Oryctolagus cuniculus: one gene and its partners. The protein of the gene in region 1 interacts with the protein of each later gene in a biochemical or structural test. Links are inferred from orthologs where the notes say so. Each region holds a gene or a part of one and is shown in the gene's direction. Other genes may lie near its edges.

Region 1 (4,021 bases):
GGAGGCACAGGTCATGAAGAAGCTGCGGCACGAGAAGCTGGTGCAGCTGTACGCCGTGGTGTCCGAGGAGCCCATCTACATCGTCACGGAGTACATGAGCAAGGGTGCGTCCCACCCCGGAGGGGAGCGCAAGCCAGTGGCCTTCCCATGGGCGTGGCTTCCAGAGGGCGGAGGCACCCCCAGCCCTGCAGGCTGAGCCACGTGGGGGCCCCCATGCCTGGCTTGCTCCTGGCTCCACTTTGCAGTTAACCAGCTGTTTCTCAAAGCTCCCACTTTGGCGGAGGTTTGATCAGACATCCCTGAGGAAGTTAGAGGCAGGGGAGAGAGGAGGGTACAGAGAGAGGTCTTCCATCCGCTGATTCACTCCCGAAATGGCCACAACAGCCGGGGCTGGGCCAGGCCAAAGCAGGAGCCAGGAGCTTCTTCCGGGTCTCCCATGCGGGTGCAGGGGCCCAAGCACTTGGGCCATCTTCTATTGCCCTCCGAGGCCATTAACAGAGAGCTGGATTGGAAGAGAAGCAGCCGGGATTCGAACGAGAGCCCAGGTGGGATGCCGGTGCCACAGGCGGAGACTTAGTCCACTACGCCACGGCGCCGGCCCCCAGTTCAGTGGGTTTTAACCAAGGGGTCCTCCGTGTAGCCTCTGCTGCAGTCAGGGTATGCCGCCAGCCGCAAACCCAGCAGCCACTGACCTGCTGTCTGTCTGTCACGGACACTGATTCTGTTTGCGTCAACTTTGCACGGGAGATTCTTCCTGGTCAGTGGAGCCTGCGCTCCTTCCTTTTCCACGGCCGGCCTGGAGCGTCCCCTTTGCACAGCCGTGCGCTGCTGCTTCCCAAGCTGCCCGTCTTTGGGCCTGCCGTGCCAGCAAGGGGCCTAGGGGTCCCTGTGTGCCGCCTGTGGGTGCAGAGGGCAGGGGCTGGAACAGGTCTCTCTCCACCAGGGAGCTTGCTGGACTTCCTCAAGGGAGAGACGGGCAAGTACCTCCGGCTGCCGCAGCTGGTGGACATGGCTGCGCAGGTGAGTTGGCCCCTGGCCCCTATACCCTTGGCCCTTAAACACCCAGCTGGTTCCAGCCTCTTGAGTGCCCCCTCTGGGAAGCCCACCTCAATTGCCCCCACATTCGGTGATCTTGCCATACCACTGGCATAGGAAGACCCTACTTGGAAGCTCCAGTTTTCTTCTTTGTTAAGGTCATTCAGTCACTCAGCAAACATTAGTCAACAACCATTGTTTCATATAATCCTTACAAAACTCGGGAGAGGAAGAGGTTGGCTGTTCCCATTCAATGGATGAGAAGTCTGAGCTGAGGGGACCCGGCAGCCACCAGGGGGACCCTGGTGAGGGGACCCACTCAACCACCAGAACTTGGCAGTCATCTGTGTCGGGGTCAGCGGGGGCCTCTTTCCCAGCTCCCTGGCCTGTGTCTTGTCTTGCGCCTCCCCTTTGCCCTTTGCCCTTGCACCTGCTGCTGAATGGGGCTCCTGCCTTTTGTGCCAGGGGCGTTTACTGTAAATTGACTTCCCTTGCCTGAAGCAGTAGGCAGGGCGGGGAGCAGGGCTGGCTGTCCCCCCCGGGGGCGGCCCCCACCCTGGACACGTGCCCGTGACCTTCTGCCTGCCCTCAGATTGCCTCAGGCATGGCGTACGTGGAGCGGATGAACTACGTGCACCGGGACCTCCGAGCCGCCAACATCCTGGTGGGGGAGAACCTGGTGTGCAAGGTGGCTGACTTCGGGCTGGCCCGGCTCATCGAAGACAACGAGTACACGGCCCGGCAAGGTGGGCAGGGTCCGGCCAGGTCCTTCCCTGCTCTGGGGGCCCCGCGGGGCGGTCGGGGCACCCCGAGGGGGCCTCCCTGAGCTTCCTCCCCGCCCTGCAGGTGCCAAGTTCCCCATCAAGTGGACAGCTCCGGAGGCTGCACTCTATGGCCGGTTCACCATCAAGTCAGACGTGTGGTCCTTTGGCATCCTGCTAACGGAGCTCACCACAAAGGGACGGGTGCCCTACCCCGGTGAGAAGCCCCTGGACCCCTCTGCCCTGGTGGCCTTGGGCAAGCCACATCCTTTCCTGGGCTTCAGTTTCCCCACCTGGAGGCCAAAGGGGTTGAGATCTCTACTTAGACTCCATGGTCAGGACTGTCAGCCTCAGGGCAGGACTTGGCCATGGTCCCGCCCATGTCCCAGGCAGGAAGCCCTCTTGCCCCCACCTCCGCCCCTCCCCGCTTCCCGCTCCCCTCCCCGGAGCCCGGCCCCTCATGCCCGCCCTGCCCACAGGGATGGTGAACCGCGAGGTGCTGGACCAGGTGGAGCGGGGCTACCGGATGCCCTGCCCGCCCGAGTGCCCCGAGTCCCTGCATGACCTCATGTGCCAATGCTGGCGGAAGGAGCCGGAGGAGCGGCCCACCTTCGAGTACCTGCAGGCCTTCCTGGAGGACTACTTCACGTCCACCGAGCCCCAGTACCAGCCTGGAGAGAACCTATAGGAGCGGGCAGGACCGGACTGGCTGCTCAGCTTGGCTCCTGGGCTGCGCCTGCCCGCCCTTGAGCCTCTCTGTGGGGCTGGCTCGCCCGGGACGAGGCCCCTCGCTCGCTCTTTGCTGGCCTGAGGCAGCCCACGGGGCCGGGCAGCGCTGCCTGGCACCTGCCCAGGCCGCCGGCCTCCCGCCTGCACTCACCCCTTGACTCTTCCGGCCTCTGCGGGAGGAGCCGAGCAGCAGGGCTGGGGTCTAAGGTGCCCCTTTTGGCCGCAGCCTCCTCCTTGCGTCTGGCTTCTTGTCCACGGCCCATGCAGCCCCAGGTCTGTCTCCAGAGCTGGCCAAAGAACCTTTCCAAAGAGGAGCGAGGGCCCTGGCTGAGCCCACCTGCCACCCTGCCCGTCGCCATCCGTTTCTGGTTCAGCTGTGGGTGGAGGCTGCCATGTCTGTGCCCGCCAGCTCTCCCAGGCTGGGCAGCCCGAGCCCTCCCCTCTGAGACCCACCCTTCTGAGACCCCAGGGACCCGTGGAGAGCAGCAGTTCCTTGCCCACCCCCGTGTTGCCCACGGGGAAACCACATCCCCAGCGGGGCTGGGACTTGCCCAAGGCCGCAGCAGTTTGTGCTGAGGTGGGATCGGCGCCCGGTGCTCCTCTGTCTTCCTCAGGAACCGACAGGCATCATGACCACAGCAGGGCAGCCCAGGGGCCGAGGGTGCGGCCCGAAGCCGCTGGAGACGGGAGTCGGGGCGGGGCGGGGGGAACATGGACGGCGCAGGTGTGGCGAGGCAGCTTCCGTCTGAGTGAGGCTGGTTTTGACCTTTGGAACCTGCGGCTGTGGACGGGAGTGAGCTCCCAGGCTCTGCAGGCAATCGACACCAGAGCCAAGAGGCTGGCAGCCTCCGGCCTCGAGGGACTCCCAGGCCCCCTTCCCTTACTTGTCCTGTGGCATTTCAGGGTCTGGCCTCTGTTCCTTACCCCAGGTTGGCACCCTGCTGGGTGGCCCTGGGTGCCTCCCGCCTGGGCTGTGTGACGGCTTCCTCTCTGGGCTGCAGTCTGCCCCACAGGTTACTGTGGCCTTGTGACGGGGCAGCCACGGTGAGCCCAGCCCTGGGACAGCAGGAGACCACGCTTTGGCCCCGGCGCTGCCGTCCGGCCTTAGGGTGCGTGGTGGCTTCCCCAGGGCCCATGTGTAAAAGAGGCGGCAGGCAGTTTGTGGCATCTTGCCGAGGGCCCCTCTGTGTGTGTGTATGTGTGCCCATGTGCCCGCGTGTGTGTGTATGTGTGTGTCTCCGTGTGTGTCGTATTTAACATGTAAAAACGCCCCTGCTCCGTCCCCCAGACCCGTCCTGCACCTCACCTGCGGCCCCGTCATAGCAATAACATTCCGCTGCGGGTCACCTCCAGCCAGCTCGGCCCCGCAGCGCAGGAGGCGGCCGCGCGGTGCCTGCCCACGAAGTCTCCATTTTCCCTCTCGTTTTTACCGTCCGTCCCAGTTAGATCTGGGCTTGCTCGCCCGCCCGGTCTCACACACCCACCCACCCCGCCCA
Region 2 (2,722 bases), on another chromosome or scaffold:
AAGGAAGACTTTTCTCTCTGTCTCTCTCTCTCTCTCTCACTGTCCACTCTGCCTGTCAAAAAAAAAAAAAAAAGAATCAGTCACTGCTGAGTTGTTTTAGAAAGGTAACACGTCCCATAAACACATACTTATTTATGTGTCGAATATAAATATATTTAAAGAATAAGAAGTTTGTGAGCATATTTCTATGGCTTTTAAGGCAAACTAGTAAAAGGAAGGAATTACTTATCCTGCTTTTTGGCCCAATCCTAGCAGGTTGCTTGCTCACCGTTGTTGACGGGCAGAGTGGCCGTGCCCCTGGTGTAGCCATGCAGCTCGGGTGTTTGATGCATCTGACGCCAGCGCGGCGGCCCGGGCCTGCATTCCTGGCCGTGCAGCCTGGGCGTGGAGCTGACTGTCCAGGGCTCTCTGGAATCCCAGCCTTTGCTCTATTTAAACCTTGTCCTCAGGACAGCTGATGTCAGCCGCTCACTGTAACTGTATCTTGGCCGGCACAGCTGTTCCAGGCGCTAAATCTGGGAGCACCGGTCGGTGAGAAAGGCTGCGCTCTGAGTCAGTGCTGACTTTCCCACTTTCTGGGGCACCAGGGCCCAGAGGCAGCGACCCGCCTGTTCACCCGCGCCCCGTCTCTTCCCAGCCCTGGAGCTGCTGAAGAACGCCATCGCGAAGGCTGGCTACACTGACAAGGTGGTCATCGGCATGGACGTGGCCGCCTCTGAGTTCTTCAGGTCTGGCAAGTATGACCTGGACTTCAAGTCTCCTGATGATGCCAGCAGGTACATCACCCCCGACCAGCTGGCCGACCTGTACAAGTCCTTCGTCAGGGACTACCCAGGTGAGTGCCCCGTGGCAGCCCCCGCCTGCGGCCGCTGTCCACAGCTGTGGGAGAGGCGTGGCGAGGCCCGGGGACCAGGCGTGCTCTCACGAGATGCGTCTCCTTTCCCCAGTGGTGTCCATCGAAGACCCCTTTGACCAGGATGACTGGGAAGCTTGGCAGAAGTTCACGGCTAGCGCAGGCATCCAGGTGGTAGGGGACGATCTCACGGTGACCAACCCCAAGCGGATTGCCAAGGCCGTGGACCAGAAGTCCTGCAACTGCCTCCTGCTCAAGGTCAACCAGATCGGCTCCGTGACCGAGTCCCTGCAGGCGTGAGTGTCTGCCCCAGGGGGTGACCCCCAGCTAGAGCTGTGATTCCTGCTGCCTCGCGTGGGAACTCCAGGGAGCTTTTATTTTTTATTTTGTGACAGGCAGAGTTAGACAGTGAGAGACAGAGAGAAAGGTCTTCCTTCCGTTGGTTCACCTCCCCAAATGGCCGCTACAGCCAGCGCGCTGTGGCCAGTGCACTGCACCAATCCAAAGCCAGGAGCCAGGTGCTTCCTCCTGGTCTCCCATGCGGATGCAGGGCCCAAGCACTTGGGCCATCCTCCACTGCCTTCCTGGGCCACAGCAGAGAGCTGGACTGGAAGAGGGACAACCAGGATAGATTATTTGAAAGGCATAGTTAAAGAGAGGCCTTCTATCCAATGGTTCACTCTCCAAGTGGCTGTAACAGCTGGAGCTGAGCCCATTGGAAGCCAATAGCCCCAGGACCACCTTCTGGGTCTCCCATGCGGGTGCAGGGGCCTGAGGACTTGGGCCAACTTGCACTGCTTTCCCAGGCCATAGAGAGGTGGATCAGAAGTGGAGCAGCCGGGAGTTGAACCGGTGCCCATATGGGATGCCAGCACTGCAGGTGGCAGCTTTACCCGCTATACCACAGCGCCGGCCCCTCCAGGGCAGTGGTCACATGAGGGCCAGGGTGTTGAGTGGTGGGCTGATCCTGGCTCCTTTATGGCCTGAACATCTGATGGAGGAATCAGTGGATGAGTGCCAGGAGGGTTCTGTCAGTCGTCTCTGCCCGCAGGAGGCTGAGCCCAGTGTTGGAACCACGGCCAGGGAGCCCTTCCGGCTGTGCCCAGGCCTTTGGTCATGGTGCCAGGAAATGAGGTCATGTCCTGGGGTTGTCTCTGCTTCCAGGTGCAAGCTGGCCCAGTCCAACGGCTGGGGCGTCATGGTGTCTCATCGTTCTGGGGAGACCGAGGACACCTTCATTGCTGACCTGGTGGTGGGGCTGTGCACCGGGCAGGTAAGGGGTGGCTCCTCTCTGTCCTCAGCTTCCTGGGAAGGCCCGGTGGGGAGGGGGCCGCTTCTCAGGAGTGGGAGTCGTGTCTGTGACTTTCTCCTCGTGTCCGCGTGTAGCTACTGTGCTTGACGGTTGCCCCAGCTTTCCCTGCTTCCCAGGGCCCAGGGCCTCCTTAACAAACTCCCGTCTCTGCCATGGTGCCCTCTGCTTGCCCGATAGTCACGTAGATCCCGCATCCACTGCAACTAGCCTGACCTTTGTTGTCTCCTTCCAGATCAAGACTGGTGCACCTTGCCGATCTGAGCGCTTGGCCAAGTACAACCAGCTCCTCAGGTATGCAGCGTTCCCGATAACGTAGGGCAGCCACTGGGGGTACTGCCCTCCGCCAGGAACCCCCGGCTCTGGGGTGGGCACAGGTCGGGCTGTGGCGCGCCGAGCCAAGGCCCAGCAGTCAGGTGGACTACAGGGCTCCTGGCAGCAGCTGCCCGAGGTGCCGCTCTGTGCAGTGCCGCCATCTTGTGGTGAGAGAACAGGACTCCTTAGCAGGTCAGCCATAGCCTCACAGCTAGCGGAGGATTTGTTGATTCTCATTGATCCTT
Region 3 (4,763 bases), on another chromosome or scaffold:
GGTGGGTTGGCACAGGGAGAACGTGAGAGCAGAGACCGACAAAGGCTGCACACGTCCAGAGCCAACAGAGGCGTCTTGAACAAGGATCTGGGCGGTTGGAAGAACAAGTCAAGGCCAGAAACTCAGACCCTGTGGCTTCAGAAATTCGTTCCGGGGCCTGCGCTGTGGTGCAGCAGGTTAACGCCCTGACCTGAGGCACCGGCATCCCATTTGGGCGCCGGTTCTAGTCCCAGCTGCTCCTCTTCCAATCCAGCTCTCTGCTATGGCCTGGGATAGCAGTGGAGGATGGCTCCTGCGCCCACCTGAGAGGCCCGGAGGAAGCTCCTGGCTCCTGGCTTCAGATCAGTGCAGCTCCAGCCATTGCAGCCATCTGGGGAGTGAACCAGTGGATGGAAGACCTCTCTCTGTCTCTACCTCTCTCTGTAACTCTGCCTATCAAATAATAAATAGAATAAATCTGTTTAAGAAAGAAAGAGAGAGAGAGAGAGAGAGAGAGAGAAATTCGCTCCAAGAAACTGCGGGATGCCGCGGGCCACAGGAGTGCCTGGGCTCTGCTCCACCTTCCAGCTTCCTGCCGGGCACACGCTCCTTGGGCAGCTCACCTACCTGGGTCCCTGCCACCCAGACGGACGTCCAAGCTCCTGGGCCAGCCCTGGCTGTTGCAGGAATTTGGGTACAGAACCAGATGGAAGTCAGTATCTTTGTCTCTCTGCCTCTCAAAAATGAAAATCAATGATATTTTTTTTTTCAGTTAGCCCCAGCTCCATCATCTACCCGCTGCTCCCAATAATAATTAAACCCGTGTGAAGACAGGATTTTCACTGTTTGCTTTTTATATTAATCCAAAAGCATACATCGGTCTAAAAAAGGAGCCATGCAAGGAAAGGCTGAGTTCAAGCCCCCGTCCGCGAGGGTGAGACGGCCGCCCCTGCCCCTTTCTGTCTCCCACGTCGGGGCTTCCTCGGATGCTGGGGATGTGTGGACTCCCAGGGCAGCCGCAGGTCAGCTTCAGGCTGCCGAGAGCCATCCCGGCCGACGGTGCCCTGCAGGCACTGGCAGACCCGCGTCGGAAGCTGCACCTGCAGCCGCGGCTGCGCTGCGATCCGAGCAGCCGTTCGTTTAAAAACGAACCCGTAACAGTAGCACCACGACACGGATCGATGAAGCAAAGAAGTGACCTTGTTCAATGACAAAAAAGGGTGACAAGCAGCAAGGAGACAGGCAGCGGGGCCGGTGACCTCCAGCCGGGAGCGCCTTTCGGGGGGACCCGGGGGAGAGGCGCGGAGGTCGCAGGTGCACGGAAACCCGCCGCGGGCTCCCGACATAGGACACCGCCCCGGGCAGATGGAAACCAAAAGGGCAGCATGGCAGCGCGCGTTCAGCTAGGGGCCGGAGGGAGGAGACCCCCCAACAAGACAAAGGCTGCAGCCGCGGGAGGCCTAAAGTGCGCGTGCGCTACGGAGCGCGCGTGCGCGCGGCTGGCCGCGCCGCGGCCCAAGACGTGGGGGAGGGGACTCGGGAGAGGAGTGAGCCGGGGGCCGTGGGCGGGCCGCTCGCGCGCGCCCCCTGGCGGCCGGAGGAGAAGGCGCCCGCGGAGGCCTCGCGGCCCGCCCCGCCCCTGGGGTGGCTCGTGCCCCCGCGGCTCGCGCCTGCGCCTCCGGTCGGGCTCGGGGACGCGCCCCCTCGCCCGCGCGCGCGCGCTCGCAGCCACCGCCACCCACCGGCTCCGGCACCAGCAGCAGCGCCGCCGCCGCCGCTGCACACCGTCTGCACACCGCCAGCGCCGCCGCCTTCCCTCGGCTGCCCGCTGCAGTCCTCGCCGTCTGCCGACTACCAGGTAAGCGCCGGGACTCGGACACCCGCCTCCCGTGCGCTCCGCAAGCCGCCGCAGCCGGAGTTTAATGCCCACCTGCGGCGGGGGCTGGGGCCGGGCGGCGTGGACCGGGGCGCGTGTGTGTGCGTGCGCTTGTGTGGCTGGGGTCCCGGGCGGAGGCTGTGCCCGCAGGGTGGGGCGCGGATGGTGGCCTGGGGGAGGGGGCTGCGCTCTGTCCTCCATCGCAGCCTTTTGCCGCAATGGGCGTGTGTGTGTGTAGGGGGGAGTCCAATGACGACCCCCGAAACCGAACCTCAAATTCGACTTCTCTGCCGCTGTCTGCTGAGAACAAGACCCGGATCGGGTTCTCGAAAAGACGATGGCTCGCACACCTCCGTGCCCGCACCTCCCCGGCGGCGCCCTCCTCGCCGCCCCCTCCTCCGTCCGTTCCTCCTTCAGAAAGCCACAGGGGACATTTGGGGGCTGGGAGGAACCCGAGAGATGGGGAGGGGGCCAGGCGCTGTCATTCCAGCCGCCCTTCCCCCTGCGCGCGCCTGGCACGGGGACTTGGGCAGCGCCGCGCCCGAGGAGAGATGGTGCGTGGGTCCCCGCGGGGACGCCCTCCGAGGCAGGCGGCCCCGGGCCGTGCGACGTGGACGGACTGCGGGGCCGCGGCTCCCGGCTCGCGGGCGCGCACGGCCGCAGCCCTGCACAGCCGGGCGCGGGGGCTGCAGGTGCCTTTCGGGGCGGGTCCCTTTCTCTCGCTCTGCGCCGGGCGCTCCCTGCCGGAGGCGCGGGGCTGGCGCGCAGGGCTCGCCCCTCACTGCGGCAGTGGGTGTGGACCCGGGTGGGCGGCGGAGGGGGGAGCAGGCTGTGCCTCCTCCCACTCCCACCCCTCCCCCGTTTTTTCCCTGCCGAACGCGAGGTGCCATCTTTTTGCGGCTGTCACGTCTTTCTGTTCCCAAGCCGAGCCGGGTGGTCGGGCTCCGCGGAACGGGGCACGGACTGGCCTTGGGTGGGGGGACACCATCAGCCCCGAAATCGCGGCGTTTGGATGCTGCGGGAGTGAGCGCGGGGGTCGAGCACGCGGAATTTTCTTCGACAGCTCGCTGCTTTGTTCCTAGAGCTTACGTGATCCGTGCTCGCGGCCCCGTCTGGGGGTTTCTTCCATTCCACGAGGGCGTTCAGCCAAGACTCCTAGCCCCCTCGTTTCCCACCCTTTGTCGGCTCTTGGTGCTTGCCGGGGGTCCATGAGCCCTGGTCACGAGCCTCCGGGGCGCTGGTGGAACAGCCGCCACCCTTCCCGGAGGTCAGCCCCACGCGGGGGAAGCGCCCTCCCTGCCCAGGGGGGTGGGATTCGGGGTCTGGGCGCGCCGTGCACCTCCCGAGGCTGCCAGCGTCCTGGGGGACACGCCCGCGCGGCTGTCCGGCGATGGGGGCGCGCTCGCCGCCGGCGTCTCTCCCGGCTTTACGCCCTGTTGCTACGCCAGGCTGGAGAATGTCAAGAGGGGGCGTGAGGTTCCCTCGGGCGCCACCGCCACACCCATTTTTTTCCAGACCCACCGAGCTAGCTGAGTGGGGAGTTGCCATGGGAACCGCACGCGTCCGGTGACGGACCCTGGCGGCGTCGCCCCGCCCCCTCCCCGCGGAAATTGGGGACCCAGGGCGGGCCTCGAGATGCGCGCGCTGGGGAGTCCCCCGTCCCTGACCTGTGGCTCTTTCTAATTAGTCCCCGGCGGCCGCAGCCACCCAGACAGGCGTCCCGGATGTATTTTATTATCTTGGCTGGGCTAATTAATATTGCTAAGTGCGAGATTTTCACTTAAGAGTCGGAGTTCGTCGCCGCATTTGGCAGTGAGACGGGGGTATGCGGCCACCTCCCGGGTGATGGCTTTCCGCTTTATTCCAGCGCTGGAAACTGGTGTGGGCGTGGGGCTCCGAGAGCGATGAGCGTGGTCGGGCCAGCTCGTCCGCGCAGGCCTCTCGGGTTCCGCTCCTTGGAACAGCCTGGCTGGGGTGGAGCGCCCGCAGGAGCCGCCCCGGACTGAGTCAAGCATCCTTTTCCCCCAGCCCTTCGCCCCTCGGCAGCGCTGGGGCGGCCCGGGAAAGGGGGAGCCCTTTGCAGCCCCTGGGGAGGAGAGGGAGCCCGGCAGGCACAACACCTTTAGCCCGGTGCCATGGTCCGAGATTTCGCTCCGTTTTGGGGGGCTTAATGGTGTCACCCCAGGACCTTGAGGGAATGCGCAGCGCCCAGCCCCCGCGGTGGTGCCTAGGGACACTCACCCCCGCCCCCTAACGGCTCCAGCAGCGGGGGGCTCTTTTCCCTCCCGGGAGACCCCGCTTACCCCCTGGTACTCAGGAACCTGTAGCTCCAAGTCCTGGCCCAGTGCTGGCTCCCCCTTGGGACAGCGACACTGGCCGGCCCCTCCCCCACCCTGCCCCCTCCACGCCCATACTACGGTGGAAGAGAAATGTCTCTCCCGCTTGGCTGATTCTGAGCTGTGTTTTATGAATTTCCGGCCCCTCATCTCTAACCCTCCCTCTGAGTACAGAAAGAAATGTGTGGCTGGCTGGAGGGGGAGAGGAGGGAAAGCCCCCCCCCCCAGGTCCACAGCCACTCATGACGCTAATCCACCCCCTGGCGTTTGCCTCCGTAACAGGTGTGTTTGGGGCAGTAGCCTGGCTTGGCTTGGGGTTCACCTTGGATGATTTGGGAGGGTTTGTTGGCTTTGCTGGGTGTTGGTGAGTGACAGTCGGTGGCTTGTGTGTCCCTGCTGGCCCAGGCCTTCTCTGCACACGCCCACCACGGAAGGGTGTGGCTTTTAAGTGGTTTCTAGTATCAGGCTCTGCTCCCCAGATAGGAACAAAAGGGATGAATGCCCCTAGGACGCTGGGAGGAAACTTGGAGTGTGTTTGATTGAGCAGAGGTCGGGTTCATCCCAGCTGGGAA
Region 4 (4,667 bases), about 34 Mb from region 1:
AGGGAGCAAGTGCTTAGCTCCCAGCAGGCCCCAATCCGCCCCTGCCCCCACCCACAAGCATCTTGCCATCTGGGGTTGAGAAGCAGCCCCTGCCACTCACACCACCTGTAGCGGCTGGGGACCCTGGGGGCCTGGTGGGAGGGGGGAGGAGACAGACCAGCAACCAGCCAGATGGGCAGGGGACAGAGTCTTCAGGGCTCCCCAGGGGCAGCAGGCCACACCCCCTCTGAACTCCCCAGGGCTCCTGTGTCACCCTGCACCTGCACGACCTGCTGCTGGCCCCAGCGTCTAGCCAGCTCCCGGCACAGGGCAGAGCTGCAGCGCTGGGTGGGGGAGACAGCATCCGCCTACGACCAGGCCGCTGGGGTTTGAACCACACTGGGATGACCTGGAGCCTCAGTTTTCTGCTCCTCATCTGTAAGGGAAGAGAATGGTACCCATTTGATAGGGTTGTTATGGCGACCAGATGAGATCACACATGGGGCGGGGGCAGCCCCAGGGATGCGCTCAGTGCAGACAGGGGGAAGCCTGCGGAGGCGGCCGCAGGGACAGCGCATCACCCGCCCGTCGCCCACGTGCTGCCGCCCTGTGGTGGCTGGCCCCTCCTCGCACACCAGACGTGGCCTTCCACTTCCTCCTCTCACTTCTTATTTGGGCACCCCTGACGCCAGACGGCTGGGCACTGCCTGCCTCTCCAGCAGCCCAGCAGCCATGGCAACAATCAGCCCGGGGTGGCGGTGGGGTGTCCCTAACGCAGGGTCCGAGGAAGGCTGAGCGCGAGCCAACCCCACAGCACGTGGCTGGCAAAGGGCTTATGCAATAGGGCCCATCGGGGACCCGGGAGGAGACAGCCCAGAACGCAGGCTACGGCGCTCAGGTTTCCCCCCCTCACTTGCTTCTCCTCTGGCGTGGGAAGAGGCGGCCGCCTCTTTGGACAATTCTGGGGTACCTAAGAAAAGACGAAGGCATGGGTCCGCTCTCCCTTGGGGCTTCTGCGTAGGCGCAGTTTAGAGGCGTCCCCCCACCCACCCAATTTCTGCCCTTCCCAGCCCCAATGCTTCGCTCCCCTGGCATCAGGTCTCCTGCGGTGCCCTGGATCTCTGTGGAGCCCCAAACTTCCTTACAGTGGCCCGTGCTGTGCCAGCCCCCCCCCCACGCCAACACTCAGAAGACTGCTCCAGTCACCCACCCTCAAGCTTCGAATCTCCCGCCAACCTCCCTCACAGGCCCCCGTTGAGGGATCACGCAGACCTCCGCGTCGAAACGCCCGCGCATAGCCCCGGGGCTCCCCGCGATCCCCGCACCCCGGCCGTCGAAGGCGGGGGGCGGGTCCCGGGCGCGAGGGGAGGGGCGAGGACCCTCCCCGCCCCCCGGGACCCGCCCCGCGCCCGGAGCCTATAAAGGCAGGCGGCCAGGGGCCCGCCCGCGGGTCTCCGTGAGCCGCCGGCGGCGCCGCCGAGAGCTGCAAGCGCCGACTGCCCGGGGCTTCCCGGCGCGGAGACATGACCCTCCGCCGGCTCAGGAAGCTGCAGCAGAAAGAGGAGGCGGCGGCAGCCCCGGACCCCGGCGCCCGGGCCCCCGCCACGACGCCGGCCTCGGGTCCCCCTGCTGCCGCCGCCAGCCCTGGGCCGCCCGCGGAAGAGCTGTACGCGGCGCTGGAGGACTACCACCCCGCCGAGCTGTACCGCGCGCTCGCCGTGTCCGGGGGTACCCTGCCCCGCCGTAAGGTGCGTCCGCGGCGCCCCCACCTGTGCCTGCCGACCCCCGCCTCCTCCCATCCCTGTGGGGTGCAGTCCCTACCGCCCCCGTTTTGGTGGCTCTTCGCCCCTCCCTCCCTGAACCCCCCCCAGCACCCGCTCCGTCTGGCTTCCGGCCCCCCATGTCCCGTCTCTCCCTGTCCGGGTGTCTCGAAGCCCCCAGGACACCCTCGCCATGGACAAGTTGAGGGTCCCAGGTCCCCGGGTGGGGAGCTAGCGGGTGGCCGCGCCGCGGCGTGTGTGGGCGCCGCCGACTCTGGAGATCAGCCCTCTTACGAGGGGAGTCCCAGCCTCCCGGCCTGGCCCGCGCCGACACCGTGCAGTGCGCGAGCTTCGGCTGCTGCCTGGACTTCGGCGCCACCGGACGCGGCGGGAGGGGTCGCAGGGCGCCCGCGGGGCAGGAAGGATGCGGCCGCGCCCGCCCTTGGCGTCTCCCCCTACCCTTGGAGCCGGGCTTCCTCTGGCCCGAGGGGACCCGAGGCCCAGGTTAGGGAGAGGGGTGGTGGCCTTTCCCTACTCAGCCCCCTCCTTCCCCTGGCTCCGACCCCCCCCCCCCATACAATGAACAGCTTGTTGGAAATTTGCATTTTATGAAAATCGGGTTGAAAGACAAAAGGGTCTCTCTCTGCTGCCTAGCCTTCCTCCCCAGCCCATTTGGGAAGGTCCCCACCCCAGGCTGGAGAAAGAGGGCCTCTTTGCCTGGCCTTGGGGCGGCCCTGACCAGGAAAGGCCCAGGCGCCAAGTAGGGGCTGGTCTGGGCCAGGCTTCCTCCTAAGACCAAAACATCGGGCAGAAGCTGGGACTTCCAGCCCTGGCAGCCCTCCCCCAACGACAGCCCCCGAGCTCCCTTGCTGAGTGTAGTGGAGACTTACAAGTTAGAACGCCTAAGATCATTTTGTTCAAATACTTGGTAATGTGGAGAGACCAGGTGTCGCAGGGTGCAGCTGGCCCTTGAAGTGACATGTGCTTGCTCTTCCACAGGGAATAGCTGCCCCCCCCAGGCCATGGGGAGAGAGGCCTTGTGCGCAGAGGGTCCCCCACCCCTGGAGATAGCCCCTGCCTGCCTCAGTTTTCAAAGTCTGCAAGACCTGAGTGCCACCTCCCCCCCCAGACGTGGTCCTGGGAGTAGAGAACATTCTAGAGTACTGACTCCATTCCTCACCAGCCTGGGAACCAGCAGGGAGCTTAGGGGGCCCTGTGCCTGGGAGCCCTGGAGGACTGTTGTCCCAAAGGCCGTGGGATGGGGTCGAAGCCTGGGGAGCCAGGTAAGGGGGTGACCCTAAGAGTGATGCCAGCGCCCCAGCATGGATGGCGTTGGGAAGGGACAGACAGGCCACGGGAAGAGGGGTGTGGTGTGCAGGGCTGCAGCCCAGGTGGAGCGCCGTGCAGAGACCAGGGCTCCAGGCAAGGACCACCCCACTCACCTGCTCCTTCCTGTCTTTCCCGCTCAGGGCTCAGGATTCCACTGGAAGACTCTCACCCAGAGTCCCGAACAACATCGGTGAGTCACCCCACCCCAGCACCCTCGCCCCCCAGGACTGCAGCAGGGGCTGGGGCGGGGGGGGGGGGTTGTGTGGAGGTGGGGGCACAGCGCTGTGCGCCAGGGGGCGTTCTCCCTCCCTTCAAGCCTGGCTTCCCCACCCTGGGAGTGAGGGGCAGGTGGGGGTGTGGGCTGTGTTAAGGGGGTGTCAGAGAGAGGAGGTGGGGACTTCTGAGTCATTAGGTGCTCCTCAGCCACCCCCAGGCCCTGCCAGTTACGCCTCCCTGGAGAGATGTAGATGGGTGGGGGGGCGGGGGCTGCCCTAACCCAGGTCTCTGAGCCCACACCGTAGCTGAGCCATGTGCACGTGCTTGGGCCCGACTAAGCCTGCCTCTGGCCTGTAGGCCTGCGCTGTTCCCAGCGGGCCCAGCTCTCTTAGGAAAGACACGAGGTGTGCGCAGAGGTTTCTTTTCTCTGCTGCGGGTCGTCTCTGGCTCCCTCTCCAGTGGTTCAACACAAGGCTGCCAGACTCGCCCCTTGGGAGGCGAGAAGTGTTTCCGTACTTTTAAAGAGTGGCAGCATAAGAGAGAGCCTGAGATATTTACCTGCCCTCCAGTCCCCACCCCCACCCTGCCGGCCGTTTGCAGAGAGAGATCACCAATCTGGGGTCCCCTGCTCCTCTGTACCCACAGCAGAAAGAGTGCCCGGGCCTCCCCTTGGAAGTGGGGGTGCTGCTCAGCCCTCGAAGGGGTGTCCCCGCGCCAGGCCTGTGAGACGCAGAGGGGCCTCGGGCCAGGCGGGAAGGAAGGGGCTGGGGGAGGGGTGGGTAGAGGAAACTCCGGGCTCCCCAGCAGGCAGGCCAGGACCTGGAGTGGCTCCAGATCATTGTGTCCAGTGGGCAGGCCTGCAGTGCGGGAAGGGGCGGCCTTGCGGCTCCCCTCCCCCAGCCCTCACATCTGGTGGGCTGGCCCCACCGCAGCTGGGAGGAGCAGCTGTGGTCTCTGAGCTGAGCCTGAGCCTCGTGACTGGGCGGGGCGGGGCAGTCCCTGCCCAAAGCTGTGGAGCTGAAGAGGCTCCCAGTGGGGACTGAGTTTAGGGGCCTCGGCCAGTAGCTAAGCCAGGCCGCCAGGAAGCTGGGGTGCGATTGTAAGCCTGAGCCGGCCACCCCTGGCCTCCCACCCCCAGCTCTGGGCGGCTCCCTGAGGATGTGGAAGGAAGTTCCCGCAGGCCCTGAACGGGACAAGGTGTCTGTCCGTCTGTCCGTGGAGCCTGGGCGCCCTGTCTTGGGGTGGGGGTGGGGCTGGGAATCCTCAGCATCTCGCCTCCCCGTGTCTACGGCAGGAAAGTGCTGACTTTGGAAAAGGAGGATAACCAGACCTTCGGCTTCGAGATCCAGGTGGGTGGGAGAGGCAGGTGCAGCGGGTGGGGGT
Region 5 (4,021 bases), on another chromosome or scaffold:
GCAGCTGGGAGCTGGAGAGAATGCTTGGAGAGTCCCAGGCTGCCCCTTCCTGGCTCTGAGCCCCAGTGACCTCACAGGTGAAGGGGATAATGTGAGGACTGACTCAGACGATCCATTATGTGCCTAGCCCACCCATTAGTAAGTGCGAGGAAGATTCCTTAGGGAGAAGGTTTCACCTCTGGCCTAGGGTGGCTCCGGGGCAGGGCTGGGGAGGGTTTTTCCCCTTCACACCCCCAGACCCGTGATTCCCAGCTCTGAAGCGTGAGTCAACTAGGAACAGAAAGTACAGAGTTGGAGCAGCAGGCCAAGGGTCACCCAGAGGGAGACGACAGGTAGGGCCGCGGTCTTGAGCCCTGCAGAAGGGCTTTCCTCCTCAGGAAGGCCCAGTAGGGGCTGCCTTGGCACAGTCCACATGCCCAGGCCAGGCTAAGGGGCAGGGGTGGGAAGCTGCCCCCGTGCTTCCCCAGGGAGGGAGAAGGAGGGCTCCTTTGGAAGCTGTGGGCTGGGGCGGGGCTGCTGGCACCTGCTGCGATGGAGGAGGAGGCCGGCTGGGTGATGAGCGGGGTGGGGGGAGCAGCGGGGTCTGCCCAGCTGGCCTCACACTGGGAGGCGGCAGAGTGTTCAGAAAGTTGGGTTTTGAGGACCCAGATCTGAGAGGGCTCTGGTTAGCGGCTGCAGCACCCGTTCTGTCCTGGGATCCCCAAAAGAGCTTCCTCTCTCAAGTAGCAGGAGGGACCCAGCCCTGGCTTCCACAGCAGCCTCAGGCGGTCGCTCAGATACACTGTCGGTGTCTACCAAGGGGATATGGGGAAGCAGGGTTCCCCCAGACGCAGTGTCTCCACCCAGGCTAGCTCCCTGATCAAACCAAGATGGAACCTGCACCACTACCACCACAACCCCCCCCCACCCTCAACCCCATGCAAATCGAGTCAACCTGTATGATTCAAGAAAGTGATGGTAGCTAAACCTGAACCTGAAACCCCAGTTGTGGGGGGCCAGCTGCTTGGTCCCCACATCTGGCCTAGATCCAGGCCCAGCAAATGCATTTCTGGGACAAATCACTGGTCAGAGAGCGACTGCAGAGCATCCTCCAGTCAAGGCCGAACTGACCCACTCCCACTCCCACCCACTCCCCTCTCCTGCAGGCCGGGGGCAGGCAGCCCTGCCCACATGGATGTGTATAGCTGCGTCGCCCAGCCTCCCCTCCCTTCCTCCAAGCCCGCTTCCTCCCTGGGCAGGCCTGCACCTGATCTTCCCCATCCCTGGACACCCAGAAGTTCAGGGACGTGTCTCCCTGAAACACTGGAATCCTACTGCTCTTTGCAGCTCTATCTGGGGGAAGAAGAAGTGGGGGGTATGGATTCCTGATGCATTTTTCTTCTGGTCTTTTTGGTTTGCAGTGCCTGCACCTACCTACAGCCCGTCGCCAGGAGCCAGTTACAGTCCAGCCCCCTACACTCCTTCACCTGCCCCTTCCTATACCCCCTCCCCTGCCCCCACCTACTCCCCTTCCCCAGCACCCACCTACACCCCCTCACCTGCCCCCAACTATAACCCTTCACCCTCAGCGGCCTACAGTGGGGGTCCCACGGAAGCTACCAGCCGGCCCCCCTGGGTGACAGATGACAGCTTCTCTCAGAAGTTCGCCCCTGGCAAGACCACTACCACTGTCAGCAAGCAGACCCTGCCACGGGGGGCCCCAGCCTACACCCCGGCAGGGCCCCAGGTGTCCCCTCTCGCCAGGGGCACCGTCCAGAGGGCTGAGCGCTTCCCAGCCAGCAGCCGAACTCCACTCTGTGGCCACTGCAACAGCATCATCCGGTATGTCCTGCTGTGTCCTGGGTGACGTGGGGAAGGCAGGGGTGTGGATGCTCGCCCATGGCAGAGAGGGAGGGGAGGTACAGGATTCAGGAGGGAGCTGCAGGCATGTCCCTCCTGCACTGTCTGGGCTGACCTCTCTGAGCTTAAGGGGTCAGGCCACCCACGTGAGGCCCATGTCCCTGCGGGGTTGGGAGGGCCCCATGAGGTCAGTTGGGAAAACTCCAGTATGGTACCTATGCCAGGAGCTACCCCTTGGGCTAAGGCCGGGTGCTGGGAATCTGGAGGCTTATGGGACATGTTGCAAGCTGGCTGACACCATGGGTTTTGACCCAGCTTTCCTTTAGAGTGGCTACTGGGTCTTTCTTGGAGATAGGCCTGTGTGGCCCCAGAGCCTTGGTGGGTATCAGCCACACTGGAATGAAAGCAAGTCACTTCATGCTTAGAAGCCAGCAGTCGTGGACAGTGCTTGTTTGCATACTGTGTGTGTGTGTGTATGTGATGAGCTCATAGGTACACGGAAAATATGTTTATTTAAAATGAAAGTAGCACATCCTCATTAAAGAAGAAATAGACAATGCAGAAAAGTAAAAGCGAGGATACAAAAAATTTGCTCACCATCCCTACAACTACATGACCTACAACTAGACTCTGGTTTGTGTCCGGGTCCCCCACTTACCAGCCCTGTGGCCTCGGATGAGCTACTTAACCATGCAGAGTCTCAGTTTCCTTGCCTGAAAATGGGCACCATCATAGCACCCACTTCTTAGGGTTGTTGGGAGGGTGAAACACGTTAACAAATGCACAGTTCTTGCATTGTGCCTGGCACAGATAAACATGTAATCAGTGTTAGCTGTCAGCATCATTCTTTTTAAGATTTATTCATTTGAAAGGCAGAGTTATATATAGACAGATCTTCCATCTGCTGGTTTACTCCCCAAATGGCTTCAGTGGCTAGGGCTGAGCCACTGAAACCAGGAGCCTGGATCTCCATCCGGGTCTCCCACATGGGTGGCAAGGCCCCAAGTGCTTGGGCCATCATCCACTGCTTTCCCAGGCACATTAGTGGGATTGGAACTGGTGCTCATAAAGGATGCCAGCGTTGGCAGGGGGTGACTTAATCCTCTGCATGTTCATGCGTCACCTGCCATGGACAGGTGGGACTTGTTTCCTCGTTCTCTTTCCTATGATGCAACAGGGAACGCTTTTCTGCAGGGAGCTTTCTCGGACCCTCACAGCACTGCACTGAACAGTCACGATGTCAGAGTTACTCGGTGTTACGCGTGAACACTGCTGGGGTTCTTGAAATACCTGCTCCCAGGGTTTGGAGCTGCCTTGTTCACGGCTGCCCTCTGCTTCTCTAGGGGCCCTTTCCTCGTAGCCATGGGCCGCTCCTGGCACCCGGAGGAGTTCAACTGTGCCTACTGCAAGACCTCCCTGGCAGACGTGTGCTTTGTGGAGGAGCAGAACAACGTTTACTGTGAGCGGTGTTATGAGCAGTTCTTTGCCCCACTCTGCGCCAAGTGCAATGCCAAGATCATGGGGGTAAGCGACTCTGACCCTCATCTTTGCCCATCTCCCCCAACCAGCTTCTCCTCCTCCCCCAGGATTGTGAGTTCCCATTAGGAGGCCAAGAACAGAGAGAAAGCAACTCGGGCTCTGTCCTTAGAAGGGAGTCGTTCTGCCTCCAAAGAGCCAGGGATCAAATGAACTTGAAGCAAGAGATGATTATATGCCTGCACCACATGGCTTGTGAGATGTCTGCAGAGCGAGTTATTGCTTCATGGGCCTGACCTCACCACTCACCTGAATGCGGCCTTGCCCCTCCGTGCCCCTTTGGTCAAATGGCAGGAGTAAGCTGGACCTCTCGCCTGAGGTTTATGGGAGGACCAGGGATGACAGCTTTTGTGAGAAGGCATGGAACCTGGCACGTGGCCAGTCCTCTGCTGCCCCTGGGCCTTTTCTCAGCATGCCCAGGTCCTCTCCCTCGTGGGAGACTCAGGTGGTGGCCAGGGCCTGGAGGGGGAGGCCCTCCTTTCTGTCCTGAGCGCAGGCTCTTTCCCCAGGAAGTGATGCACGCCCTGCGGCAAACATGGCACACCACCTGCTTTGTGTGTGCGGCATGCAAGAAGCCTTTTGGGAACAGCCTCTTCCACATGGAAGACGGGGAGCCCTACTGCGAGAAAGGTAGGAACAGGGAGAA
Region 6 (4,021 bases), on another chromosome or scaffold:
GTGTAACCTTAGACTAATCACTTTATCAGCACAATCTTGGTATCCTTCAGTAAACTGGGAGTGGTAATACTCTACCTATTTTACAGGGTTGTTGAAAATCAATGCAGAGCACAAATATATGTGGAAATTTTTATAGGAGCATATGTATTTAGAAATCTCTTTTATTTCTGTCAGTTCAATTTTGTTGGAAAGATTCTTGGACCACAAGGAAATACAATAAAAAGGCTGCAGGAAGAGACTGGTGCAAAGATCTCTGTGTTGGGAAAGGGTTCAATGAGAGACAAAGCCAAGGTAAGCTCACATTAGTGAGGCAAGAGGATGCCCTAGTGTGTTCTACTTGCTCAGGGTTAAGTGTGGAATGCCTTACAGAAGCAAGCAATTCGTGTATATACAGTGACTGTATATATGTGACTCTGTTTTCATTGGATGCAAGAGATAACAGACTAAATTAACTGACTTGATTGACAGTCCTGGAAGAGCCTGTGTTTGATTTTTTTCCCCGTTTTATTGTGTAATAATGGAAACAATAGCATCTTTGGCTTTAGTAAACTTACCTGTGAAAACTTGAAAGGGGAGCCGGGCAACTTTAGGTGTATTAAACTTAGCCTGGCTAAAGAGAGTAACGTGTGAATGAATACTCCTTTTTCAGTAATGTGAAAAATGAGAGTAGTGTTATGCATGGGGATGAGTTTGAAGATCGGTTGTTTTGTTTTATAGCCACCTGGAATGTGAGACCCACTAAAAAAGGTATTCCCAAGAAATCCTGAGTAACCCAGAAGTAAGGCTTCTGGTCGTTTTTACATGCCGTAGCCCAGACACTGTGTGTTCTTTGTAAGTGCCAGGAAACTTCCCATCAGAACAAAATAGTCTTAGCCTTCTGTGGTCAACTTTTCAGATGCAACGTACCCGCGACAGTTGAAAAACTCGCTCTTTGGGGCTGGCATTGTGGCACAGCAGGTTAAGCTACTTCCATGTACAGTGCCCTCATTTCTTATTGGCCCTTTGGCCTAGTCCACATGATGTGATGTTTCTGTGCATTTATCCACAGGAGGAAGAGCTGCGCAAAGGTGGAGACCCTAAATATGCCCACTTGAACATGGATCTGCATGTCTTCATTGAAGTCTTTGGACCTCCATGTGAGGCTTATGCTCTCATGGCCCATGCCATGGAGGAAGTCAAGAAGTTTCTAGTACCAGTAAGGAAATCTATAGCCTGTATCTTCTGAGCAAGGGAGAAGTGGGCTCTCAGCTGTTGTAAAGGCAGAAGTTTTTAACTAGGATTGCAGAGCATTGCTGAAGTTGTGTGCCACATTCTGCATATGCGTGTAGGGTCCATTACTCATACCTTGTTCTCAAAGCACTGTCCCCCAAGGCTAGTCTGTTCCTCTTATGTAATGTGGTTCTTATTGTGTACAGTATCCGTTGTCGGTATTCTGAGTCCACAGTGTTTCTGCATTCTACAGTCTGGTTAACAGTCTTCATAAGCTAAATACTCTGGTACCAGCGTGGAGCCTGGAGGTTGTACTAGGAAATTGACTAAGGTGACTACCTCCAAAGTTATGTTGTAGATTAGAGTCTGGAGGCTGTGACAGCAGAAATGTATAGTATTTGATAGTAATGGATTCAGTTGACTTGACTGTCCTCATGAGTGTCTCAGGGAGTTGCGTTTAGAGTTTAATTTGGAAGAGGCGTGATTGTTACTCCGTTGACTGTAACATTAAATAGATTGATGCACAGGTCCTTTCAGGCTGTCGCTGCGGCCTAGGAAGAGTTAGAACAGGCTAGGCATCTGTCTTGCTTGTTATCACTTCTAAGTGGGAAGTGCTACTATGTTTGCCTTTTAGCAAGGCCTAGTGGTTGTTAGAGTTACCACCATACGATTGTTACACATTTTAATATCAAAGATTAATCTGGAACTTAGTAAAGACTTGGAATAATATTCAGCTACAGTTGAATAAATGTCATGTTTTTCATACTAAAACTAGCAGGAAATGAGGTACAGGCCTTGGTTTTCTTGACTGTAAAATGAAGGAGTTGGAACTAAATGTGTCAGAGGAGAGGAGAATTGGTAGAGCGGTATTTACCCATAATGCTGAACTCCAAGGATTCCAGTATGAAATCTGAACGATGGGCTAGCATTGGTTATTTTGTTCTCCAATGGGAGTTTCAAGCAATAATGAGGAGTAAGTGAGCAGGAGTAAGTGAAAAGTTGAGGGAAGCATCTTTCTAATGACTGGACTCTTCTAAAGCCATAATCACCTAAGATACTTAGAAATGCATGACGTATTAAGACAGAATAGCTCTTAATAGGAAAGGTCTGGCATTTGACTGTTCTTCCTCTAGTAAAGGAAAAACAGTGTGCCTGTATTTGCATCCCTGCCGGAATATCCACTTTCGTTTTAGAGCCATTAATTCTGCCATGAGGCTTTGTGTACCTTAGGAGGAGCACTGGGCTGGGAGCTCTGTCTGAAACAAGTTATCTTTTCATTTTTCTGAGCCTCAGGTTCCTGTTTGTCCCAAACACTTGTTAAATATCTGGTAGATGCCTAATACTGTGCTGCCTCCGACGTTACAAAAGTGGCTCCTGGAAGAGCTCACAGTCTAGTAAGAGAAGATAAACATGGTATAAAATGATGTGGTAAGTGCTTATTAGGTAGAAAGAATTATGTGGTGTTTTAGGAAAGAGCAGATATGGAGTTGGTATCAAGAGAAAGTTTGTCAATAGTAGTACTGTTTTACTATTTTAGGAACTCTTGTAAGAGTTAAGAGTCCCTCAGGTAGATATTAAAAAAAAGGGGGGGGTATAGTCTGTTGATTCAAAGTCTAAATTTTGGAGAAAGCTAATACCGAATTCACATTTGGAATCTGCCACTTTAAGCTCCATTCCCTTGGTCCGGTTGATGTATACTCCTTGAATCTATTTTCCCAACTGTAAAAATAGAGATCTGCTTGCTTACTTCAGGGTCATTTTGAAAATTAAACTGAAAAATCTATATAAAGCTTATTATGTAGTGCCTTGTTCATAGAGCTCCATTAATGGTAGTGGCTTTTATTATTCCAGGGAAAGGAAATTATTTGCCAAGGATGGATGTATGAGAGTGGGTGCCAGGTTCTGACCTACAAAATGTTGAGTGTGGCTTGAGAGGAGAGCGGATGGTAGGGACCACGTCCTGAAGAGCCCCACCTGAATAATGGCGGGTCTAACACCAAGGCTTTCTTCAAAGAAGTGACAGGCAGGGTGCTCTTCAGCTTCAGAGAGTCAGTGATCTGAGCCTTTATCTGGCCTTTCCAAGCTGTTCCTAGCATCCAAGACTCACGTGGGCCAGATGACTTCACGGTAAAAAGTGACAGTGTTGTACAGTACCCTTTGTTATCTTTCATTCCCAGGATATGATGGATGATATCTGCCAGGAGCAATTTCTAGAGCTGTCCTACTTGAATGGAGTACCTGAGCCCTCTCGTGGACGAGGGGTGCCAGTGAGGGGCCGGGGAGCTGCACCTCCCCCTCCACCTGTTCCAAGGTAAAAATAATGGAAATAGCCAGAAATAGGATATAAATGACCACTAGTAGTAACATAATTGTAAGAGCATTGTTCTTATTTCTAGCTTTAGAAGGGTCTTGGGATTCCTGTGTTGCATTAAGAATGGAATTGTAGATCTTTGGCACTTTAACCATAGTCAGGTGCTACAGTCCTGCTAAAATTTTAAGTGTTAATTTTGGACAGTCTTACTTTGTTTTTTTCTTTTAAAGATTGGTTTATTTTTATTTTAAAGAGAGAGAAATCTTTCATCCATTTGTTCACTCCCCAGTGGCCACAGTGGCTGATGCTAGGCCAGGCCAAAGCCAGGAGCTTCTTCCAGGTCCCCGACATGGGTGGCAGGAGCCCAAGCACTTGGACCATCTTCCACTGCTTTTCCCAGGCCATTAACAGGTAACTAGATCAGAGCTGGAGTAGCCAGGACTTGAACCAATGATCACACAGGATGCCAGCATTGCAGGCTGCAGATTTGCCCACTGTGCC
Region 7 (4,663 bases), on another chromosome or scaffold:
CTCACTCAGCTCCCTGCTAATGTGCCTGTGAAAGCAGCAGAGGATGGCCCAAGTGGTTGGGCCCCTACCACCCATGTGGGAGACCTGGAAGTTCCTGGCTCCTGGCCCAGCTCTAGCTGTTGCAGGCATTTGGGGAGTGAACCAGCAGATGGACGATCAATCTCTCTTCCCTCAATCCTCTGTTTCTCCCCCTCTGTCTCTGTAACTCTGCCTTTTACATAAACAAATAAATAAAAATCCTTAAAAAAAAAAAAAAAGGTAATGACAACCTATGGTGTAGGTACTTTCCTCTTCCTATGTCATAGATGAGGAAACAGATCCAGAGAGGTTCAGGAAGTAGCCTAGGGTCACACCGCCCAGTGGGCAGAGCGGCTGGGAAGTAGACTGAGTCAGGACCTGGCTCTCATCCACCAGGCTGCGCAGTCACCTTGAGGGTATCTTCCAAGCAAGAACATTTGAATACAAAATTACCAAGTCGGAATTATGCTCTCTAGTTAGATCAGGATGCCAAGGCTCAGAGAGGTTAGGGAACTCTCCCAAGGCTGCACAGCTGATCCTGGACCAGAACCTGGATTCAAACTTGGGGTGTCTCACTTCAGTTCCCGGGAGCTTTCACGTGAATGTGACTGCGTCTGTTGCCTGCGGTGATGGCCAAGGGGAGAGAGTGGCTAGGACGCTGCCCAGTATCAGCTTCTACAGCAAAGCTACGGGAAACGAGAGCATGTCCACTCTGGTCAGGAGGAGGCCCCTGGTGGCCTTCACGACCACTGTCCTCTGGTCAGGGGCTGGCAGAAGCCACCTAGGGCGAGCAAGTAGAGATGTGGGGGCAGTGATGAGAAGTGGAGGGGTAACTGAGGAAATACTAGGGTCAAGACAGAAAAGAGGAAGTGTCTTCAGAGACGGAGGGAGGAGAGAATTGATAAAGCTCAGAGGCAGAAGTGGGACACAGAACACTTCCACTTATTCACTACTTACTGAGCAGCTATTATGTGCTCCGCACAAGAGATCACCAAAGAGCCAAGATCCAGTGCAACTAACAGTGTAAGGAGGGAGATAACAAACTCTGTAAACAGATAAATAAAATGAGAGTTGTGATAAGAGTCCAGGAAACTGGACAGAGAGATAGTGATGAACAAGTTGGGACCAACTCTAGGCAGGAGTGGTTAGAGGAAGACTGAGTAAGATGGGAGTGGTGAGGCGGAAGTAGCTGTGCCAAAGCCAGGTGGAGAGAGGGAGCTGGCACATGCCAAGACCAAGGGCTGGGACGTGGCCTGGCTGGAATTCAGTAGGCAGCAGGGAGGGCCTTGCAGGGATGAGATAAAGGAAAACCCCTTCCCCTAAGCTCCCTGGGAAGCCCCGGAGGAACAGAATGGCATGGTGTGAATGCTGCTTAGGCAGTAGGGAATGACACAGCCTTGCCAACAGTGAAGAGGGAGGGCTGTTGATCAGCTGGGGAGAAAGAGAGAGGCTTGCAAGAGGATGCCTGCGGAGCAAGTCCCTGCTCTTCCCGGTGCTGTCAGTGAGAGGAGCCAGGCAGCCCTGTTGCTGAGCCCCGTGAAGGACCCCTTGCCTGTATGTTGTCACCTTTGGTCACCACCATGCCTCACCACCCACCTATCAGCCCAGAGGCCTTCTCTGCCATGCCACGTTTTTGTGTTTTGTTTATTTGAAAGGCAGAGCAACACAAAGACACACACACATAGAGCGATCTTCCGTCTGCTGGTTCACTCCCCAGATGCCAGCAATAGTCGAGGCTGGGTCAGGCCAAGGTCAGGAACCTGGAACTCCATCTGGGTCTCTCATGTGGGTGGCAGAGACCCAAGTGCTTGAGTGACCACCTGCTGCCTCCTCAGGTGCACAGAAGCCATGGAAGCTTCCATGGGAAGCAGAGGCAGGACTTGATCCCAGATGCTACAATACGGGATGTGGGTGTCGCAAGCCACAGCTTAACCTTCAGTGCCCTAAAGCCCACCCCAACCGCGCCTTTTTTTTAATTTTTAATTTGTTTATTTGGAAGGCAGAAATACAGAGAAGGAGGGGGAGAGAGAGAGAGAGAGAGAGATCTTCCATCACCAGTTCATTCCCCAAGTGTCTACAACAGTCAGGTCTGGGCCAGGCTGAAACTGAGAGCCAGGAGCTTCATCCTGGTCTCTCACATGAGTGCAGGGGCCCAAGCACTTGGGCCATCCTCTGCTGCTTTCCCAGGCACATTAGCAGGGAGCGGGATCAGAAGTGGAGCAGCTGGGACTCAAACCTGTGGATGCCGGCACTGCAGGTGGAGGCTTAACCTTCTATGCCACAGCACTGGCCCTGCAGTGTTTAAAAAAAAAAAAAAAAAAAAAAAAAAGGAAAGAAAGGCAGAGTGATGGGGTAGGAACAGAGACCTTCCATCTGCTGGTTACCCCCCAAATGCCTGAAATAGCCAGGACAGGGCCAGCTGAAGCTGGGAGCCAAGTTATTCAACCCAGGTCTCCCAAAGGCTGGCAGGGATCCAGCTGTTTGAGCCATCACCTGCTGCCTCCCAGGGCCTGCATTCGCAGGTTATTAGAATCAGGAGTGCAGCTGAGCGTGGAAGGCGGGCATTCTGATATGGGAGGCACATGTGTTCACTGTGCGGCCAAAGGCCAGCCCCAGGCCTTTTCTTTCTAAGCCTTAGTTTCCACAGTCATAAAATGAGAATTAGAACGCCTATGTCCTTGATCAAATGACAATCTCTGCGTAAAATGCTCAGTACAGTTCCTAGAACATAGTGATTAATAAAGGTTAATTATTTCATTTATAAGGAAGTGGGCTAGTAAATGGATACATTGCAGTTCAAGGTGGGGAAACACCTGCTGACGGCAGCCGAGAGGCAGACTGCCTGGGAGCACCGGGAAAGCCCAGAGGCGGCGATGCTGGAACCGCGCCTTCAAGAATGAGAGAGTTTTCAGCGAGGGAGCGAGGAAATGGAAGAGACATGGTGGGAGGGAAGAAAACCCACAGGGGCTGAAGTGGCGGGTGGTGCTGGCACGCCCTGGGGAAGGTGATCAGGGCAGGGCGGGAGTTCAGGTGGTGTGGGATGAGCCTGGACAAAGGGCTTCAGGTGAGAATACAGGATTTAGGAGTCGAATCGAGAGGACAAGGGGCATCAGCCCAGCTCCTGCCGCATGCCTGGCACTGAGTTAGGAGGTTGGTGCTTTTTTTTGAAGGAACTTGGATTTTTACCCTATGGATCACGGAGAACAGAAGAGATTTTGAGGCAGATGGCGACAGGGCTGAGTATTTATTCATATAACTTTTAGGATGATGCTCCTGGTAGCCAAGGGGAGATCGGGATGGAGTAAGGAGACAGTAGGGAAGCGGCCAGGCTTCGGCTCAAGAGGGAGAAGCTGCAGCGTTCAGCCGGTGGGGATTGGGGTCAGTCGGAGGCTGCAGAGGGTTTTTGTCCCTTTATCAGGCAGGCTCAGAGGTAGATTTCAGGGGAGAACGGTGGCGAGGGCAGTGAGGGGAGTGAACGCTCCTGAGGGGTCAGGGGTCACAGCTTACCAGGATGGAACAAAGCTGTGGCTCTGACCCACCTGGTGCACCTCCGGGTATCGCTGGGATTGGGCCCTCGTTGTCAGCGATGAAGGTGACCTGTTGTGAGAAAGGAGAGGAGAGTGTGTGAGCACCTTCCAAGCAGTAAATCACTGAGCAAATATCAGACCCTCTGCCACCAGGGAGGCCGTGAACTGCAAGGGGCCACACAGCTGGGATGGACTTTAGGGGAGGTGGCCATGGTGAAGATAAAGAGTGATCCATGACCCGTACATGCACTCTGTTTACAAACAGGCAATCCCACACTTCCGGGATCTACAGGACACCCCGAGACAGCTGTCCCAGCACCCCGACACTGACGGTTGCCTTATGGGTTCCCTCACCTCTCACTTGGATTTAAGGGCGCACCAGAAGTCTGAACCTGGAGTCTTGGGGGAACCATGTGAATTGCTGAGTATTTCTGGGGCTGGAATCCGTATTCTCCACCAAACTCTGAGATCCACTCCCCTTCAAAGGTTAAGAGACACTGATTTTTTTTCTCACCAAAAATTAAGAACAGCTATCCTTGGGGAAGACTGAATGAGGCAGGAGGGGGAGATTTTTCATTTAAAAATTTCTGGGAGGGGGGTCTGCCTCTCTTGGAGCCCCCCTCTTGGCTGCTGCATCCGGAGGTTTCTGACTTCAATAAATCTTGTTTTAAAATAAATATTTTGAGGGGCCAGTCCTGAGGCATTGCCGGTAAACCTGCTGCCTTCAGTGCCGGCATCCCGAATGGGAACTGGTTTGAGTCTCAGCTTCTCCACTTCTGATCCAGCTCCTTGCTAATGCTCCTGGGAAAGCAGTGGAAGCTGGCCCCAGGGCTTGGGTCCTTGTATTCAAGTGAGAGACTTGGAAGAAGCTCATGGTTCCTGATTTCAGATCCATCCAGCTCCAGTGGTTGTGGCCATTTGGGGAGTGAACCAGGGGATGGAAGATCTTGCTCTGCTCTCTCTCTGTAACTTTCAAATAAGTCTCTTAAAATTTTTCTGAATTGTTTGAATTTTTAAACCATGAACATGGATTAGTTTCACTGAGAAAAGTGTTATTAGAAGTTACGTGGGTGGTTGAGATAATGGGCCCTTTTTATATTTTATCTTATCTCGTTGTG

The links.
Region 2: of the proteins of SRC (region 1) and ENO1, one has a biochemical effect on the other in vitro, tested with the Homo sapiens proteins (4 studies listed by BioGRID). The link is inferred for Oryctolagus cuniculus from reciprocal best matches to the Homo sapiens genes SRC and ENO1.
Region 3: the proteins of SRC (region 1) and MAPT form a complex in vitro, tested with the Homo sapiens proteins (3 studies listed by BioGRID and IntAct, with this or other methods). The link is inferred for Oryctolagus cuniculus from reciprocal best matches to the Homo sapiens genes SRC and MAPT.
Region 4: of the proteins of SRC (region 1) and TAMALIN, one has a biochemical effect on the other in vitro, tested with the Homo sapiens proteins (2 studies listed by BioGRID and IntAct, with this or other methods). The link is inferred for Oryctolagus cuniculus from reciprocal best matches to the Homo sapiens genes SRC and TAMALIN.
Region 5: the proteins of SRC (region 1) and LDB3 interact in a test that uses a peptide from one of them, tested with the Homo sapiens proteins (2 studies listed by IntAct, with this or other methods). The link is inferred for Oryctolagus cuniculus from reciprocal best matches to the Homo sapiens genes SRC and LDB3.
Region 6: the proteins of SRC (region 1) and KHDRBS1 form a complex in vitro, tested with the Homo sapiens proteins (8 studies listed by BioGRID, with this or other methods). The link is inferred for Oryctolagus cuniculus from reciprocal best matches to the Homo sapiens genes SRC and KHDRBS1.
Region 7: the proteins of SRC (region 1) and STAT3 form a complex in vitro, tested with the Homo sapiens proteins (3 studies listed by BioGRID). The link is inferred for Oryctolagus cuniculus from reciprocal best matches to the Homo sapiens genes SRC and STAT3.

The regions. Positions count from the first base shown.
Region 1 is NC_091442.1:21,170,117-21,174,137, reverse strand, and holds part of SRC (proto-oncogene tyrosine-protein kinase Src), read left to right. Parts: coding exon 1-104; intron 105-943; coding exon 944-1,020; intron 1,021-1,627; coding exon 1,628-1,781; intron 1,782-1,881; coding exon 1,882-2,013; intron 2,014-2,275; coding exon 2,276-2,484; 3' UTR 2,485-4,021. UniProt on the Homo sapiens protein: Non-receptor protein tyrosine kinase which is activated following engagement of many different classes of cellular receptors including immune response receptors, integrins and other adhesion receptors, receptor protein tyrosine kinases, G protein-coupled receptors as well as cytokine receptors.
Region 2 is NC_091438.1:158,998,918-159,001,639, forward strand, and holds part of ENO1 (alpha-enolase), read left to right. Parts: intron 1-637; coding exon 638-835; intron 836-947; coding exon 948-1,149; intron 1,150-2,017; coding exon 2,018-2,126; intron 2,127-2,397; coding exon 2,398-2,456; intron 2,457-2,722. UniProt on the Homo sapiens protein: Glycolytic enzyme the catalyzes the conversion of 2-phosphoglycerate to phosphoenolpyruvate. In addition to glycolysis, involved in various processes such as growth control, hypoxia tolerance and allergic responses.
Region 3 is NC_091448.1:17,309,775-17,314,537, reverse strand, and holds the start of MAPT (microtubule-associated protein tau), read left to right. Parts: upstream 1-1,662; 5' UTR 1,663-1,837; intron 1,838-4,763. UniProt on the Homo sapiens protein: Promotes microtubule assembly and stability, and might be involved in the establishment and maintenance of neuronal polarity.
Region 4 is NC_091442.1:55,329,018-55,333,684, forward strand, and holds the start of TAMALIN (protein TAMALIN), read left to right. Parts: upstream 1-1,408; 5' UTR 1,409-1,502; coding exon 1,503-1,727; intron 1,728-3,208; coding exon 3,209-3,258; intron 3,259-4,578; coding exon 4,579-4,633; intron 4,634-4,667. UniProt on the Homo sapiens protein: Plays a role in intracellular trafficking and contributes to the macromolecular organization of group 1 metabotropic glutamate receptors (mGluRs) at synapses.
Region 5 is NC_091446.1:78,050,341-78,054,361, forward strand, and holds part of LDB3 (LIM domain-binding protein 3), read left to right. Parts: intron 1-1,400; coding exon 1,401-1,821; intron 1,822-3,182; coding exon 3,183-3,363; intron 3,364-3,884; coding exon 3,885-4,005; intron 4,006-4,021. UniProt on the Homo sapiens protein: May function as an adapter in striated muscle to couple protein kinase C-mediated signaling via its LIM domains to the cytoskeleton.
Region 6 is NC_091438.1:140,396,425-140,400,445, reverse strand, and holds part of KHDRBS1 (KH domain-containing, RNA-binding, signal transduction-associated protein 1), read left to right. Parts: intron 1-174; coding exon 175-291; intron 292-1,048; coding exon 1,049-1,195; intron 1,196-3,386; coding exon 3,387-3,520; intron 3,521-4,021. UniProt on the Homo sapiens protein: Recruited and tyrosine phosphorylated by several receptor systems, for example the T-cell, leptin and insulin receptors. Once phosphorylated, functions as an adapter protein in signal transduction cascades by binding to SH2 and SH3 domain-containing proteins.
Region 7 is NC_091448.1:20,437,255-20,441,917, forward strand, and holds the start of STAT3 (signal transducer and activator of transcription 3), read left to right. Parts: upstream 1-1,509; 5' UTR 1,510-1,554; intron 1,555-2,175; exon of another isoform or gene 2,176-2,310; intron 2,311-3,237; exon of another isoform or gene 3,238-3,408; intron 3,409-3,557; exon of another isoform or gene 3,558-3,615; intron 3,616-3,906; exon of another isoform or gene 3,907-4,023; intron 4,024-4,663. UniProt on the Homo sapiens protein: Signal transducer and transcription activator that mediates cellular responses to interleukins, KITLG/SCF, LEP and other growth factors. Once activated, recruits coactivators, such as NCOA1 or MED1, to the promoter region of the target gene.